Caenorhabditis elegans: one gene and its partners. The protein of the gene in region 1 purifies or fractionates together with the protein of each later gene. This does not show direct contact. Each region holds a gene or a part of one and is shown in the gene's direction. Other genes may lie near its edges. The genes, in order: C24D10.6, nfs-1, ndub-7 and elo-6.

What was found.
Region 2: the proteins of C24D10.6 (region 1) and nfs-1 fractionate together in Caenorhabditis elegans (co-fractionation; one large-scale study listed by BioGRID). This does not show direct contact.
Region 3: the proteins of C24D10.6 (region 1) and ndub-7 fractionate together in Caenorhabditis elegans (co-fractionation; one large-scale study listed by BioGRID). This does not show direct contact.
Region 4: the proteins of C24D10.6 (region 1) and elo-6 fractionate together in Caenorhabditis elegans (co-fractionation; one large-scale study listed by BioGRID). This does not show direct contact.

Annotation. Positions count from the first base shown.
Region 1 is NC_003282.8:5,158,795-5,161,972, reverse strand, and holds C24D10.6 (CHCH domain-containing protein), read left to right. Parts: upstream 1-1,724; 5' UTR 1,725-1,725; coding exon 1,726-1,867; intron 1,868-1,970; coding exon 1,971-2,125; intron 2,126-2,254; coding exon 2,255-2,443; 3' UTR 2,444-2,546; downstream 2,547-3,178. Other genes in the region: C24D10.4 (ER to Golgi transport-related protein), read right to left, coding at 638-762, 811-1,191, 1,255-1,450.
Region 2 is NC_003279.8:10,734,890-10,740,499, forward strand, and holds nfs-1 (cysteine desulfurase), read left to right. Parts: upstream 1-1,807; 5' UTR 1,808-1,859; coding exon 1,860-1,928; intron 1,929-2,433; coding exon 2,434-2,571; intron 2,572-2,615; coding exon 2,616-2,735; intron 2,736-2,907; coding exon 2,908-3,006; intron 3,007-3,051; coding exon 3,052-3,145; intron 3,146-3,297; coding exon 3,298-3,432; intron 3,433-3,482; coding exon 3,483-3,638; intron 3,639-4,098; coding exon 4,099-4,239; intron 4,240-4,548; coding exon 4,549-4,715; intron 4,716-4,765; coding exon 4,766-4,885; 3' UTR 4,886-5,025; downstream 5,026-5,610. Other genes in the region: kin-3 (Casein kinase II subunit alpha), read left to right, coding at 1-279, 737-861, 917-998, 1,196-1,351; B0205.5 (Transposase), read left to right, coding at 5,408-5,506.
Region 3 is NC_003279.8:7,580,228-7,583,738, reverse strand, and holds ndub-7 (NADH dehydrogenase [ubiquinone] 1 beta subcomplex subunit 7), read left to right. Parts: upstream 1-2,110; 5' UTR 2,111-2,115; coding exon 2,116-2,229; intron 2,230-2,311; coding exon 2,312-2,416; intron 2,417-2,521; coding exon 2,522-2,674; 3' UTR 2,675-2,795; downstream 2,796-3,511. Other genes in the region: mce-1 (Methylmalonyl-CoA epimerase, mitochondrial), read right to left, coding at 713-1,012, 1,356-1,481, 1,556-1,618; D2030.3 (Fanconi anemia group I protein), read left to right, coding at 2,908-2,970, 3,051-3,465.
Region 4 is NC_003282.8:5,386,046-5,390,377, reverse strand, and holds elo-6 (Long chain fatty acid elongase 6), read left to right. Parts: upstream 1-1,818; 5' UTR 1,819-1,824; coding exon 1,825-1,998; intron 1,999-2,103; exon of another isoform or gene 2,104-2,124; intron 2,125-2,185; exon of another isoform or gene 2,186-2,206; intron 2,207-2,280; exon of another isoform or gene 2,281-2,301; intron 2,302-2,448; exon of another isoform or gene 2,449-2,469; intron 2,470-2,569; coding exon 2,570-3,096; intron 3,097-3,432; exon of another isoform or gene 3,433-3,453; intron 3,454-3,530; coding exon 3,531-3,654; 3' UTR 3,655-3,749; downstream 3,750-4,332. Other genes in the region: htp-1 (HORMA domain-containing protein), read left to right, coding at 1-19; F41H10.12 (CACTA en-spm transposon protein), read right to left, coding at 4,298-4,332. UniProt on the Caenorhabditis elegans protein: Catalyzes the first and rate-limiting reaction of the four reactions that constitute the long-chain fatty acids elongation cycle. Uses malonyl-CoA to add 2 carbons per cycle to the chain of long-chain fatty acids.

The DNA of each region.
Region 1 (3,178 bases):
GTTCCACCAAATTTCTTTGTAAAATTGAAACAAATTCAGTGATTTTTGTGAGAAGTATCAAAAATTCGAGAGCTTCTATAGAGTAGTACGGTCGTTTTACGACTTTAAAACCTATTTCCCGTAGTTTTTCATCGATTTGAAATCGATTGGCATCAACAATTTTTCATGAAATATGTCAGAACATGATGAAACTCGAAATTTTAGGGTGTTCTCTAGAAGTTGCACGCACTGACTGTTTCAACTTTGTGATATATTGCAACTAAAAATAGAATTTTGCTACAGAAGTGGACGTATTTAGGTAGAATCTCTAAAGTAAAATCCATATATTTTCTACTCTATCTACAGGAACGTCATATTACTTGGCAAATACATATATTACGCAATGAACTACGTTTCCTATTACATCGCCGTTCCTGGTTGTCTCAAATATTACTGTGAGAATACATCAGAACAATTGCATTCCATTATTATGGGAAACTAATAGTCGACTTCCAGAGGATTGTCCATTCGTCATAATAATCAATTCACAATGAATCTGAAAACCTATGAACTTGCAATTTTAATAATGCTGCATACAACTCATCAAGAACACAAATAATTTAATAAAACTTCCGATTTACATACAACTAATAACATTTTAAAAGACAATTTGATAATCCGCTGAAAAATCGTAGAGTTCAAGTATCATATGGGCGAGAAGGAAGCTGGCGGCGAAGGAGACGGTCGTTTGGATGAATTCAATGATTTTGAAACCCGCATTCACTGAAAATCATTGTTTTTTTATTTATTGCTTGATCCATATGAACTTACTAATTTTTTCAAATTGATTATTATTCCCCATTGCTTGAAAAACAGCAGCAAGTTCGTTTCTTGTTTGATTATTCAAACCGACAGCCGAGAATCGAGAAACAAGAGTGACGTAGAAGATTGCCCAAAGTATTCCGATATTTATTGGTCCTGTGAGAAGCATAATTGCACGAGAAAGAAGTCCAAGAATGATTGCCACTAGTGGAACATTTATTCCTTTAACTGGAGGTGGAGGGGGTCCTCGATTAGTGTTCAGATTGCCCATTCCATCAGAAAATTGAGCAAATTGAGCAATATCTGCGGGGAATCCAGCTGGAAATTCGCTGGGAAATCCGGGGAACTCAGAATTTTGTGGAACAGTGACGCTATCAGATGAGCTTGGAGCTGAAAAATATTATAAATTTTTCCGGCAACTTTCTGGTTAAATTTTTAAAAAAAAGCACTCACTCGGCAAAATATTGTAGCCCTCGCCGCCCTCAATTGCAGGAGCATGTCGTTTGCCATTTTCGTCGCCTCCGTTATTCAGAATTCGATTAATTCTGCCTTCAGAATTTCCCAATATTTTTGCAAGTCGACGTTGACGACGTTCTTCTGCTGTTAGTGGAGGGGGAGCGACTGGTGCTGTCTCTTCTTGATCTGACATTCTGGAATAATATAAATATTAATTTTAAGTTATTTTATACAGGAAAAGCGAAGAAAAATAGTTTTTCGGTGAAAAAGCAGAGATTTTGCAAAAGATAAAATAAAAAATCAACCAAAATTTAGCTGCGTAAGCGCGCTCCATTGACAAGATTCCTTGTGGACTCCTCTCGGGTAACACACATGAACATTATTTTTATTTTATTTCTTTATTTTCTTCGGATTTTCTGATTTAAAAAGTTTGTTAATTATTTTATTATTTAATTTATTGTTTACAGGATGATGTTCTCATCGCCTCTCCTAAAAGAAAAAGCGCTGGCACGTGGTAAATCGATATATCCGAAAGTTGCAGTGTTTTCCGAAATTTTACCGCTCGCCTCGAAGAATCGTGTTCAGGCTGGACAAAAACCAAGAGCAGCGAGTGAGTTTATATTAACTTGAAAATGCATACAAAGATTTGTAATTTTTTGGCACAGTGAAAGAACATTTTTGCAAAATATTTGAAAAATACAACGTTTTTCCAGGTTCGTCGTGCACTCAAGAGCTACAAGCACTGTTTGGATGCCTGAAAAAGTGGGAATTCGATGATGTTCCATGCTCAAAACAACACACTCTTTACATGGATTGCGTTCACAAAGGAGCTGAAGAAGCTGCCGCGTATCGGGATGCCACGAGAAAAGTTTGTGATTTTAATATTAAAATTTATTTTAAGATCGAAACAAAGTAAATAACTAATCGAAGATGTTAATCTGTTGCTTTAAAGTACTGAAAGAAAAGTTGTTAACTTTAAATAAATCAAGCTTTGCAGGGAACACTTGGAGAATCTGGAGCCGGCGGAAAACAATCAATGACCAGTGCTCAATTCAATAAAATTCAAAAACTCTTTCCACAACCAGACCTTGGAAAGCAGCCATATCGACAGATGAAACGACTTCCAACACAAGACTACGCCGACGACACGTTCCACAGAAAACATTGGTCAGGAAAAAGAAGCTAGAATTTTTAATTTTTATTTTAAAATCTCTTTTTTTGTTTTCTAGTATGTAGTTTTCTTGTTTCTGTTAAAACTCCAAAATAAGACATAAATAGTGCCTATCCTTATGTCCCTTTCAATTTGTCTCACTTGTTGAGCCCCTAGTCATCCTCTTTTTTTCGCTTTCCAAAACATTCTCAGATTTCTTCGGATCCCTTCAGATGACCCTTCGCCTCGTTATTTTTCTATTCTTTCCGTTATCCGCCAACGCCCATCTTTGCTATTCGTGTTACGGCGAAACGACCAATTCATCGTGCTTTCAAAATGCTCGAAGCTCTAAATGGGTTGATTGTGAGAAGGGAGAGTGTCAGGTTTGTTGGCAGGAAAATGCATTAATAGGAAGTGTATTTGCTTTTTATCTGGAGGTGGACGAAAATAAGAGATGTTTACGAGATAACTTGATGAGTCTTCGAAAAACAAAAAGAGAACCTGAATATTCCAGAAAATTTTTTTTTGGTTATTTATTTATTTAGGAATAAATTTAGATGATGAAATCATAATACACTGGAGAAAACTAATATCGCAAGTTTCAGAATATTTTCAAGCAAATCACGAAAACTTCAATGAGAAGCATATTTTGCAAGATGATCTTTTGAGAAATTTATTCAAAATATTGTATTTTCGTAAGATTCTGACATGCCTTCTTAAAGGCGCACGGATATATTTCGATGGGTCTCGGCGCGCAGAAAGTTTATGGTA
Region 2 (5,610 bases), on another chromosome or scaffold:
TCTCAAGGAATTATGCACAGAGATGTTAAGCCGCACAATGTGATGATTGACGCCGAAAAACGGGAACTTCGATTAATAGATTGGGGATTAGCCGAATTCTATCATCCAAGACAGGACTATAATGTTCGTGTTGCTTCTAGATATTTCAAGGGACCCGAGCTTCTTGTCGATTATCAATGTTACGATTATTCGTTGGATATGTGGAGTTTGGGATGCATGTTGGCTAGTATGATCTTCAGGAAGGAACCATTCTTCCACGGCCATGATAACTACGATCAGGTAAGCACTTTAAGCTGAAGTAGCAAAGAACCGCAAATCCACAAATTTCATTAAAATCCAATATTGGAATATAGAAAACATTTGATTTATCTGATTATGGCTTTTATTTCAGTGAGAACAATGGGGAAAAACGCTTAAAAAATTACCGGAAAGTTTAAAATTTCCGAAAAAAACCGAAAATTTTCCAATTTTGAGCATTTTTCAATTGTTCCAGCTGCAAAAAACTATTTTCAGATAAAGAAATTATTTTTTTGAATTCCATAGCTAAAATTTTACTGATAAGTTTGGCTTATTCCGTAGAATTTCTTGCCGGCGATTGATTCGCACCCCTGAGCTGAAATTTAAATGAATAAATAATATTGTCAGGTATTTATTAAATATTCATCAATAATTTTTATGATTTTTAATATTTTATAAATTCACGAAATCTGATTTTCTTATAAAAAGTTTTTTGCAGCTAGTCCGCATTGCAAAGGTATTGGGAACTGATGAGCTTTACGAGTACATTGCGAGATATCACATTGATCTCGATCCACGCTTCAACGATATTCTCGGGCGACACTCAAGAAAACGCTGGGAAAGGTATATTTTGATCGAAGCGAAGTTTCATGTTTTTCTTAAAATTCATTTGTTGTAGATTTATCCACGCTGAAAATCAACATCTTGTCACCCCAGAGGCTCTTGATTTCCTTGATAAACTTCTTCGCTACGATCACGCGGTAAGAATCGGAAAAAAGAGAAATTACACCAAATTAGTTACTGAAAACCAGTTTTAACAAGAACACAGAGAAATAAAAACAATTTTCACTTGTTTTATTGAAAAAAAAGACATTTGATACTCGAAACTAACTATAAATACTTTTATTTGTTAAATTAATTTATTTCCAGAACTTTTAATAAATTTCACCATATTCAGGAACGCCTAACTGCTCAAGAGGCCATGGGTCACGAATACTTCCGCCCAGTTGTTGAAGCACATGCTCGTGCCAATGGAACTGAACAAGCTGACGGACAGGGTGCATCGAATTCCGCTTCTTCTCAATCCTCCGATGCCAAAATTGACGGCGCTTAAAATTTCTTTCTATTTTTTTTTTAATTTTCCTGTTGACTATTTCCTTTTTTATTAATTTCCACACCACTCCTCTCCATCATTATTCCTTTGCTCTAAAAATTGGCTAAGATATTAAATCTTCCCCGCTTCTCCGAAAATTTCCCTCTACGTACCACAAAAGTGCCTAATCTTTTCGTGAGAAACGTTCTTTGCAAATTCTATTTTTAGGATTTTTTTGTGTAATTCATGCCTCTGAAATTCCGTTTCAATTTTAAATCTTTTTTGTCCCATTTCATATTGTTCTCCTTCTTCTCCCCTTTCCTCTTCCTCAAACAACCACAATCATCATTTTTATAAATCGAATCACAGTTCGTGAGAAAAAAAACTGTTACTTGTAATCAATATTGTCTTTGGTTTGAAAAACCTACTATTGTTCCTATGTTGAGTTGTGAACTATGTTCACTTTTAGAGTTTTAGATTTAAAATGCTCAACGGACGAGTGCTCCTTCGATCGATTGCTCGCCGGACAATGGCATCGAAAATTGAGCCAGGATCTCCGCAGCCGATTTATTTGGATGTTCAGGCTACCGCGCCAATGGTAATTAAATGGAAATAATAAAGCATGATTAAAAATAATATAAAAAACTTGTATCTGGAAAAAATTAACGAAACTTTTCAGATACAATTTAGATTTCGAATGAGTTTTTTTCTAACCTAGGCACAGTTTAAGCTAGTAGGCATTCTAAAATTGCGGCTTATGGCCTAAAAAGGGCCTAAGCGAACAAAACCAGCAATAAATTATGATAATTATATGAAAACTGATTTACGACAGCGCTGCGACACTGAAAATATGACATTTTACAATACTTTGAACCCATATAATATTTTTTTTTTTATTTTTCATAAATTTTCAGAACATTTCATTGCGAAATTCAGTAGTTTGAGACCATTTTTGGTATTTAAAAAACCAATTTCTCAGTTTTCGGTTCTCTAAATGTGACTAAATTATTTTATTTCCAATTTAAGTGAAATCGTAGCTTAAGAAACTAGGAAAAAAATGTGCTGGGATTTTTTTTGAAATTCCAAATTTTAATATTTTACAGGATCCTCGAGTAGTCGACGCAATGCTTCCCTATATGATCAATGATTTCGGAAATCCTCATTCAAGAACTCATTCATACGGATGGAAAGCTGAAGAAGGCGTTGAACAAGCGAGAGAACATGTTGCAAATCTTATAAAGGTTTTTTTTTCTGAGAGTTTTATTCAATTTCCTTGTATTTTCAGGCAGATCCTCGTGACATCATCTTCACTTCTGGAGCCACTGAATCAAATAATTTGGCGATTAAAGGAGTTGCAAAGTTTCGAAAACAATCTGGAAAGAATCATATTATCACGCTGCAAACTGTAAGATTGCTATTATTAGTCCGCAGAAAATTCGCTTAAAACGGATTTCGCCACCAAACACCTAACGAGACCCATGGTTTGGAGGCGGAGCGCGTTTTCACATAGATTTCCAAAAGCGCATTTTTTGCGTCTCCATAATAATGAAATTAAAAGAAAAACGTTTATTTTCCAGGAGCACAAATGCGTTCTCGACTCGTGTCGATATTTGGAAAATGAAGGATTTAAAGTGACATATTTACCAGTTGATAAGGGAGGAATGGTTGATATGGAGGTACTTTTTTCAGTTAGAAAATATAGGAAATATCTGATATTTCAGCAACTTACTCAATCGATTACCGCGGAAACATGTCTTGTGTCTATTATGTTTGTCAATAATGAAATTGGAGTTATGCAGCCGATCAAGCAAATTGGTTTGTTTTTTTTTTCAAATCAGAGAAATACCCCAAAAAAGAAGCTAAATTTAACTAAAATATCTAAGTTTTTCAGTTTTGACTCTCTCATCGCAGAATTCAGTATTTTAAGTATTTAAAAGAAATTTAACGAAAAAAATAAAAAATTTCAGGTGAACTATGCCGTTCAAAAGGTGTATACTTTCACACAGATGCCGCACAAGCTACTGGAAAAGTTCCAATTGATGTAAATGAAATGAAAATTGATTTAATGTCAATTTCTGCGCATAAAATCTACGGACCAAAAGGTAATTTTCATTCTTCAGATTTCAAATTCTTCAAAAGCTCCGATTTCCAGGTGCCGGAGCCCTTTACGTTCGTCGTCGTCCACGTGTTCGTATTGAAGCTCAAATGTCTGGTGGAGGACAGGAAAGAGGATTACGATCTGGTACTGTAGCTGCTCCATTGTGCATTGGACTTGGGGAAGCTGCTAAAATTGCTGATAAGGAGATGGGTATGGTTTTTTTTTTGAATTTTTAACACAATTATTGGTATTTCAGACATAAAAAATTAGAAATGTTTGAAAGATATCTTTAAAATCTAAATTTTTTTAATTAAAAAAAACTATTTTATATTACGGTTTTTGTTAAACTTTAACTTTAATAAAACTGTCCCTAAAAACTTCATTTTTTCTGAGAAATTCGAATTTTTTATAAAAACGGACCGTTCAATTAAAAAACAATTGTAAGAAACAAATGGTTTGACACATTTTACTAAAAAATATCTAGAAAAAGTTGAAAATTTTCTATTAAAATATCTCTAAAAACCGCATTTTATTTAAAAAAAAAGCTTAACACTTTCGTATTAAGAATGCCATCAAAATTTCTATTAGTCGAAAATTCAATGATAGGATTGAAATTTTGGAAAAAAATGAAGAAACCCAGTAGAAAATTTTGAAAATCAAATTATTTCAGCAATGGATAAAGCTCATGTTGAACGATTATCTCAAATGCTTATCAACGGAATCAGTGATAAATTGCCACATATTATCAGAAATGGAGATGCTAGGCATGCTTATCCCGGTTGTGTCAATCTCTCATTTGCATATGTTGAAGGTACGGGAATTTAAACTAATTAAACTCGGAAATTCCCGGGTAAAAATGTTTGAAATTAAAAAATACCGCAAAAGAAAATAGAGAAAAATTCAAATTCAAATTTTAAAGACGCCATTTTTCAATTTCGGATAGTCCTCGGTGCTTGAATTTTCTCTAAAATGAGAACCAATCAACGATCCACTCCGCCCACTTTTAGACCAATCAGCCAGAGTAGGCGGAGTCCGAAGACTGTGATTGGTCTTGTAGTTCTCATTTTAGAAGATTGTCAAGCGTTTCCAAAACTACCAAAACCAACTTTTTTTTTTCTAGGTGAGTCCCTTCTGATGGCTCTAAAATCGATTGCTCTTTCTTCTGGAAGTGCTTGTACATCTGCTTCATTGGAACCTTCATACGTACTTCGTGCAATCGGATCCGAAGAAGACTTGGCTCATTCTTCGATTCGATTCGGATTGGGAAGATTTACAACTGACGAGGAGGTAAGAACACATTCCGTTTAAGTTTCAAAAAATTCATCAAATAATTTCAGGTGAAGCATACAATTGATCTATGCATTCGTGAAACAAATCGGCTCCGTGATTTGAGTCCTCTCTGGGAAATGGTTCAAGAGGGTATCGATTTGAAGAGTATTCAATGGACCCAACATTAAATATTTCTAAATTTTAAAAATTTGAATTTTCTCGTTTAGCTTTTTTTGTTTGTTTTGTGTCTCATTATTTATCTAGTTGCCAAAAAATATATTTTTTTGTTTGATATTTATATATTTTTCAAGTAAATTAGTTGTTGAAAAGCATTGCGTTCAAAAAATAACCATTTTTATCACAGAGCCCGAAGCTATCGATGAAACATGCTTCACCAAAATTTTACGATGTAATAATGTTAATACTCAATGGTATTCAAAAGACAGCCATTTTTGGCTCACCACCAAACCATTGAGGGCCATCTTTGTGCAATCCTCTTTTCAACAGAGTACGTATTTTTTACCTTACAAAATGTCAAACTCTACGTGACCGTGGAAAGTTTAATCTCAGGCCATAACAATTTATTAAATATTCTTTTCTTAAATATTTAAACTAATCTCTAAATTTTCAGAGCACGTGCTGACGGGAAAACGTTGAGCAATGAAGACCTCGAGAACAAAATTCGAGCTGCCGAATCAATTAAAAAGGCTATGCTGAACGAACGTATGATTGAGCACGTTAAGTCCAAGCTCACCAAGCGTGGTGTTAAGGTGTGGGACAAACTCGCTTCAAGAGTCTCATTTTTGTAAATTTTCAGAATTTTTTGTTATCTTCTAGAAGTAATAGTTTTTTGTTTTCCTTTCTACATTTTTTTCAAATAAACATTTTTTCTTAGTTTTTTAAAGGGAAACCG
Region 3 (3,511 bases), on another chromosome or scaffold:
CTTTGGATTGAAATTCTTTTCGTCTTATTTGGAAAAATATTTTTCTAAAAAAGAATTTCCCTCTTTCAAATAGGTGCGTAGTATATCCACTAGAATTTCAGGATTGACGGCTCAGGGACCATCTTATACTGATTATGTCATAGATGTAATTTTGTTTTTGATTTCTGATTATTGACATTCTTCGCTTAAGTCTGAAATTTCTAAGAGTGTAGTTCATACAGTTTTGATTTTCTTCTTTTTTTTCCAAATCCTAATCCACTGTAACTTTTCTGAAAATAGGTTTTTTTCATATTACCCATAAATTTTACATTCTTTTCTGATATGTTTTTTCGTAGTTTTTCGCTTTAAAATTCAAATTATATTTTTGAAAACATGTAAACGAATTTATATTTTGAAAATTTAATGAAACAATTTATTGAAGTTGTAGGCAATTATTATGGCACAAGAAACAATAAAACATGTGAACAGATTAAAACGTATCAAAAATTAATCTCTATGCAAAATACTGGGTGCTAAAAGAAAGGTTTATAGTTTTTTTTTTTGTAATTTATATCATATTATCGATTTTTCAAAAGTTATAGGCTGCCAATAAAAAATTTTGAGAGAACTTTTGCGAAATTTAAAATTTGTGAAGTTTCTCACAAAAAAGTGAAGATCAAAACTTTGTCAAACAGATAATATGATTGCTAGATTTTGGGAACAAAGAATCAAATTATTCCTGCTCGAGTTCAATAAGTACACCTCCACAATCCTTTGGATGCAAGAACATTACTTCTTTTCCATGAGCTCCAATTTTTGGTTTCTCACCCAAAGTACGAATTCCTTTTGTTTTAACAGCAGAAACAGCTTCATGAATATCACGAACTTCAATACAAATATGATGCATTCCACCGTCCTTATTCTTATTCAAAAAAGCTTGAATTGGAGATTTCTCGCCGAATGGATGAAGAAGCTCGATTTTTGAGTTTGGAAGCTCAACGAAGACAGTGTAGACTCCATGTTCTGGTTGTGGCTGTAATTATTCAATTCAAAAATTTTAATATAAACTAGATGAGACATTTTATTTTTTATTTGCGGATTTTTATCATTTTTATGAAAAAACTTGTAATTAAATAAATATTTTTCAAGTAAGTTTACTGTAGTACACAAAATTCGCTTCATTCGCATTTTATTTCATTTTTCAGTTGTAGGGGTTTTTCCAAAATTTTTCGTTTTTTGTTATGCTATTTCAAAATTTTAGGCTATTCAATTTTTATTTTGATTTATGCTACAAAGAATTTAACAAAAATATTTTCTACATATTTTTGCTCTAAATTTTTATTGACATTAGGAAGAAACAAAAATTAAAGACTAACCACAGCCTCGCTAACTTTTGCTCCGAGGCCCTTGTAGAATTCCGATGATTTCTTGAGATCTGGTGTGGCAATGGCGACGTGGTTCAACTTTCCGAGAAGTCCTGCCAATGGATGGGAAGCCATGGTCTGAAAAGTCAAAATTTTTAAAGTAAAAAAGCGATTATCTAATAGTTTTCATCAGAAAAAATAGAAAAACCTACTCTTGTGGACAGCGAAAGCTTAGCAGAATTGACAAGGGCGAGTGTAGAACGGAAGGATGCCATTTTCAAAAGAAGAATCTATAAACATGGTTACTGTACTTTAATAAAATTTATAAAACTCGAAAAATGCTAAGTAATAAGCGTTTAAATGATTGAAACATCTGTGAGAAAATGAAAAGTAACAGAAACAAACAAAAGTTTAGATAAGAAAATGTTTTTGACATTGAAAATTCGGTCAATGAACCCGCTGTAAACTTGCTTTTTGCACGCACTCACTTTGATTACAACGACACTCCGATATTACACAAGTGCTTGTTGTTTATCTTATTTTATTTCGGGCAATTTTTGTGCCAATTTTCAGCTTTACTTTGTTTTTAACGTTTTAGAAGAATATTTTCCGGAAAAATATGTTAAATTATTAAAATATAAATTGTTCACTTCTTATCAGCAAAGCATTCGCTGCCCTAAGCATGCTAATTATTTATTTTGAGTTGATTCAAATATCAGAAGAGTTTTGATGCTTTCTTTATTTTGTACCAATTCCTTTTTTTTCAGCCAAGATGGGAACTAAACTGTCCGTCTCATTGGAAGGAGCCAGTACACCAGAAACCGCGCCACGTGTCGACAGACCACCAACTTTCGATCCTCAGTATGGATTCGAGCGACCGAGAAAGGTAAACAACTTTTTTAAAAGTTCATTAAATAACTGTTCATTTAATTCATAAATATTCAATATAATAAAGTTTAATATTCAAGGTCCGCGAGATGAAGGCTACTTGGGAAGAGATGGAGCAGTGGAAGTTGAAGCCAGCTCAACGCGATTATTGTGCTCACCACTTGATTTCACTCATGAAATGCCAAGTAAGATTTTTGTTTTAGTTACAATGATATATTTTTAAAATTATATAAAAATACACATCTAAAATTATTTTCTCAAAAACAGCAAAAATAATTTATTATATTCAGACCCAAAATGCACCATTTGCCGGACACGCGTGCGACGGAGAACGTGGAGCTTGGGATAAATGTGAATATGATGATCATATCATGAGAATCAAAGAATTCGAACGTGAACGACGATTGCTTCAAAGACAGGCTCGCAAAGAAGCCACTGCTTGAATAGATGTCGATGAGATATTTCTTTAAATGATTTTTGATAATAGTATAGTTTTTTGTGAATACTATGTGTCTTTTGTTTCGTTTCTTTTTCTCTCGATTTCGGATAAATATTGAGTCGTACACTTTTTTTTAATGTTGAAAATTTTTTTGTTGTTCGTATCATTTGTAATATATCTATGCTATAATGATTCCGATTAGTTTTCCATATTATAATTTAAAAACACCTTTCAGAGATGACCGAAATCCGAAAAGTCGTCCAAGAAACAATGGTTGGAAAACCAGAAGACGAAATTCAGGTTAGAAATTGTCAAATTTTTTTGAATTATCTAAAAACCTACATATTCTGTCATGGATCCATTCATCAAATAAGTTTCAGACTTTCGAAAAATGTCTCCGTCTCGTTGGATCCAATCGAACACGTAAAGAACAAGAACTAGGATTTTGTCTTATGTCGAGAATGATCATCAAATGTTCTTCACAAACTCTACGAGCAGTTCAATCGCGATTGGCTAATCGACTTGCTCATATCTCGGATCATTTTCAATTATGTGGATCACTTTATACTCGAGAACTTCTTGTTAGAAATCCGCAAGCTGGAGAACTTCATTCTCCAATTGTATTCAAGATTATTCTTAATTGCATGGATGCTGCTGCACAAACAAGTGATCCCAATATTCGTGGATTGGCTGCTGAACTGTTTGGATTGAGAATTAGCAATCAGAATCTAACAATGTTGTTGAATACGCTTGAAGTTTTGTTGAGTGCAACCAAGATTAAAAATGTATCAAATGGTTAGTAATTTTATCAACAAAAAAAAGTACAACTCTATTGGCACGT
Region 4 (4,332 bases), 230 kb from region 1:
TTCTCGTTCCTGTAAATAATTTTTTTCCTAGCTTTCAATAGATTATAGCTTCATTCTGTAACTTGGCATGTTCTATATCATCGTGTAAAATGTTTTATTGTCTTGAGTGTTTCCTTTCTGCTCCATTATTGTATCCTTAGTTTTTTTTATTCAAATTACAGTCATTCATAAATAAATCGACTGGTGTTATTAAATAGCATGTTTCCCATGACTCCATTTTCAAGATACTCCAGTGCATTTCAGAATTTTTCAACAATTGACCAATCTAAAAAGGATTCTCTCTTTTCTTCTTCTGCTGGATACCGCTCCGAGTATCTTTCGGTAAATCTCGAAATTCTCTTTGTATTCACCATTCATGCTGACCTCGATAACTTTTCTCAAGGTTCTTTGCTAAAATTTATGTGGTTTGCAAGGGAACGTGGCGATTGTTGATTGTTGGTTTCAAGTTTTGAAAAAAAACACAGTTTATTCTACTTTTCAATGTCAGACGTCACAAAATTTATCAGAAAAAGCTTTTTTATTGCAGTGTCTGAAACAATTTTATGTAGTATTCAGGTTGATTGTAGTCGTTTTAAAGGCGCGTGCTACTTTAAATTGGTCTCGCCACGAAAACCATATATTTGTATGTTCTGTTAAAAAATCACATTCTAGCGAACAAATATCTCAATTTTCATTTAAGAAAGAGCAGTCGCGCCTGTCGCCAACAAAATGGATCGTGGCGAGACCTATCGAGAGAAAAATGTTCTTTTGAAGTGGAGTCTTCAGATTTGGCGAATTAATTCACGAATTCACGACTGGATATTACCCAGACACAAAATGTTGTAATTTTTTCGCCAAGAATACCAGGTCATGGGATTAAAAGGATTAAAGATTAAAGAATACAATTTTTGATTAAAAAGATTAAAAATACAATTTTTTATTTCAGAAAATACTGGAAATTCAAACTCTTCTTAATAAAAAACTTAATTTTTATCGATTTTTCATAGTATTTTGGGAAAAATTAATTGTACTTGTATTCATTAAAAAATCTCTCAATGATAATAATAAGAACACATTAATTTTAGCAAATCACATCGATTTTTAAAAAAATCTGCAGCAACGTAGGTTTGGGATTACAGTACTCTTTAAAGGCGCACAGCCTTTTGCATTAAACTCAAATTTTTCGTGTCAAGACCTGGTATAGTATTTTTGGCGCACAAATCACAAAATTCCGTTACTGGGTATTATACACAAATCATGAAAAAATATATTAAAAACCATTTATATACGAAATTTAATTACTGTTTCAGGCACTTTTCAATTACTTTTTAATAAAAAACATCTTATCAATAGAGTTACAATTCTTTGACCGTACATTGAGTGTGTTCTGAATCGTTTCACTTCAAAAAACCTATAAACAAATGTCTTCCACTCTCTCCCTCTCTCTCTTTCCCCCGTCTACCGCCTCTTTCATCGCCCCATAATTTCCGAATTTTCTTCGAAAAATCACTTGCCTCCGCCTTTTTACCTTTTTTTCCAACAAAAAAAATCAGACCACCATTTGGTATCTCACTACAAGAGAGAGAGAGAGGGAGAGACGCAGAAAACGAGATGGTTAAGTATAAAAAGGAGTTGGTGATGACCGTGTTTTGTGACTTTCGGGCTCTTGGAGCCAAAATGTTTGCTTTGTTGTATTCTTATGTTAGTCTAGAGACTTGTACCTTGTACCCATCTACAGTAATCTTAAGCCCCACCTGTTAGATCTGGTTCTTATTTAGCAGTTTACTTTGAGCCACACTCTTCATATGGCAGTTCCTTTTTTTAAGTTTAAAATTGCAGGTAAAAATGCCACAGGGAGAAGTCTCATTCTTTGAGGTGCTGACAACTGCTCCATTCAGTCATGAGCTCTCAAAAAAGCATATTGCACAGACTCAGTATGCTGCTTTCTGGATCTCAATGGCATATGTTGTCGTTATTTTTGGGCTCAAGGCTGTCATGACAAACCGAAAACCATTTGATGTAAGTTTGTAGATTCTCTGAAACAGTAAATTTTCGGTAAAATTTAAATTTTATTATTGAACAGTTTAGTGTTGCAAATAATTAAGAACCCATTTTTTGATTAATTGAAAATACATTGCTGGTAGATTAGAACTCATTTTGTATCACACAATTAAATATTTCCTGAAACAGTAATTATTTTCTTACTTTTAATGCCACCAGATACAAAATACTATTTATTTGATGTTACTTTCTAAATAGATTGTCTGAAACAGTACATCTTTGGTGATTTCTTAACTATTCGGAGGTAATTAGAACTGGAAAGTGGGGCCAGAAATGCGATGTGAGTCTATAGATTCTTTGAAACGGTAAACATTTTATGAAAATTCAATTTTTTTTAATCAAAAGTTTAGCTTTTATCCATTTTAAAACAAAAACTTTTATAAATACTGCTTTGATAACTTTTAAAAGAAAATTGTGATCGTTTCTCAATTAACAGTGGAAATATACTACAAAATAAAAATTGCGGTTGAAACGGGAATTATATTTTCCACCAATCCACCCACTTAAAACCCCACTAATTTATTTCCAGCTCACGGGACCACTGAATCTCTGGAATGCGGGTCTTGCTATTTTCTCAACTCTCGGATCACTTGCCACTACATTTGGACTTCTCCACGAGTTCTTCAGCCGTGGATTTTTCGAATCTTACATTCACATCGGAGACTTTTATAATGGACTTTCTGGAATGTTCACATGGCTTTTCGTTCTCTCAAAAGTTGCTGAATTCGGAGATACACTTTTTATTATTCTTCGTAAAAAGCCATTGATGTTCCTTCATTGGTATCATCATGTGCTTACAATGAATTATGCTTTTATGTCATTTGAAGCTAATTTGGGATTTAATACTTGGATTACATGGATGAATTTCTCAGTTCACTCAATTATGTATGGATATTATATGCTTCGTTCTTTTGGTGTCAAGGTTCCAGCATGGATTGCCAAGAATATTACAACAATGCAAATTCTTCAATTCGTTATTACTCATTTCATTCTTTTCCACGTTGGATATTTGGCAGTTACTGGACAATCTGTTGACTCAACTCCAGGATATTATTGGTGGGTTTTTGTCCAATATGTAGTGTCTTTTTTTAGTACATAGTGTAACACGAAACTATACAATGCAAGTTAATATTCCGCCTAGATTTGATTTTTTTTGGTGATTTGCTTTAGTTTTTCAAACATGTATTTTTTTAACTGTGATAGTTAGCAAAATATTACCATTTCACTAAATGTTGTCGTTGTCGGCTGCTGTAATTTATTTCAGAACATGAGTTTATACAGCTTTGACACTAAAATAATTAATCGACAACATTTTGTAAATTGAAAACATTTTGCTAAATATCACAGTTTATGAGTTTTTTTTGTTGTTACCAAGCAACTCAAGGAAATTTGATAGTGGACACTACATATGTATTAGAACAACTAAAATTTGTAGAAAATTTACAATACTTTTGAAACAGCATAAAATTAGTAAAATGCAATATTTCCAGGTTCTGCCTTCTCATGGAAATCTCTTATGTCGTTCTGTTCGGAAACTTCTACTATCAATCATACATCAAGGGAGGTGGCAAGAAGTTTAATGCAGAGAAGAAGACTGAAAAGAAAATTGAATAAAATATTAGAATAGAGATAATTTATCTTTTTTTTCCGGGTAGTTTACACTTTCTATTAAATGTTCTGATTTGTATAATAAAGGTTTAGTAGAATACAATTATTTTAATTGTTATCTTAAAAACAAAGTATGGTAACTACCTTATGTCAGGCAGGTAGATTTTTTCGTTCCTATGCCTATGTTGAAACCTATAACTTTTTCAATATGAAAAAAAGTTTTTTATTAAAAAATTTATGTTTTTCCGATTGGTGATTTTTCGTCGTTGAAGAGATCGATCAAGCAGTTGTGACTTAAGACAATTTTGTCGTAAATATGCCACATCGCGCTGAAGTACAGTATGGTACCAACAACGAAGACGGAAAAATAACGATAAGAGGCGTTTGGAATCACGGGAACGTCTGCTGGCTAGCATGCTTGGTACATTTCATCAGCAGAATCCCCAATGTCCGTACAATTCTAAGTACAATTGTTAGCAGTATAACACAAGATAGCAATTTGTCAACTTTGGATGCTCTAAAGATCAGCCTACTGAACGAATTGGTGGATGCACTCTCTAAACTGGCTTTGAAACAGTAAATTTTTAGCAATAAATAAATTAAATACAATTTGATAGAAAAAATCCAACTGTAAGCTCGTGCTGGTTAATTATACTGAAATAGTGAGCTCTACAAAAATGAAGT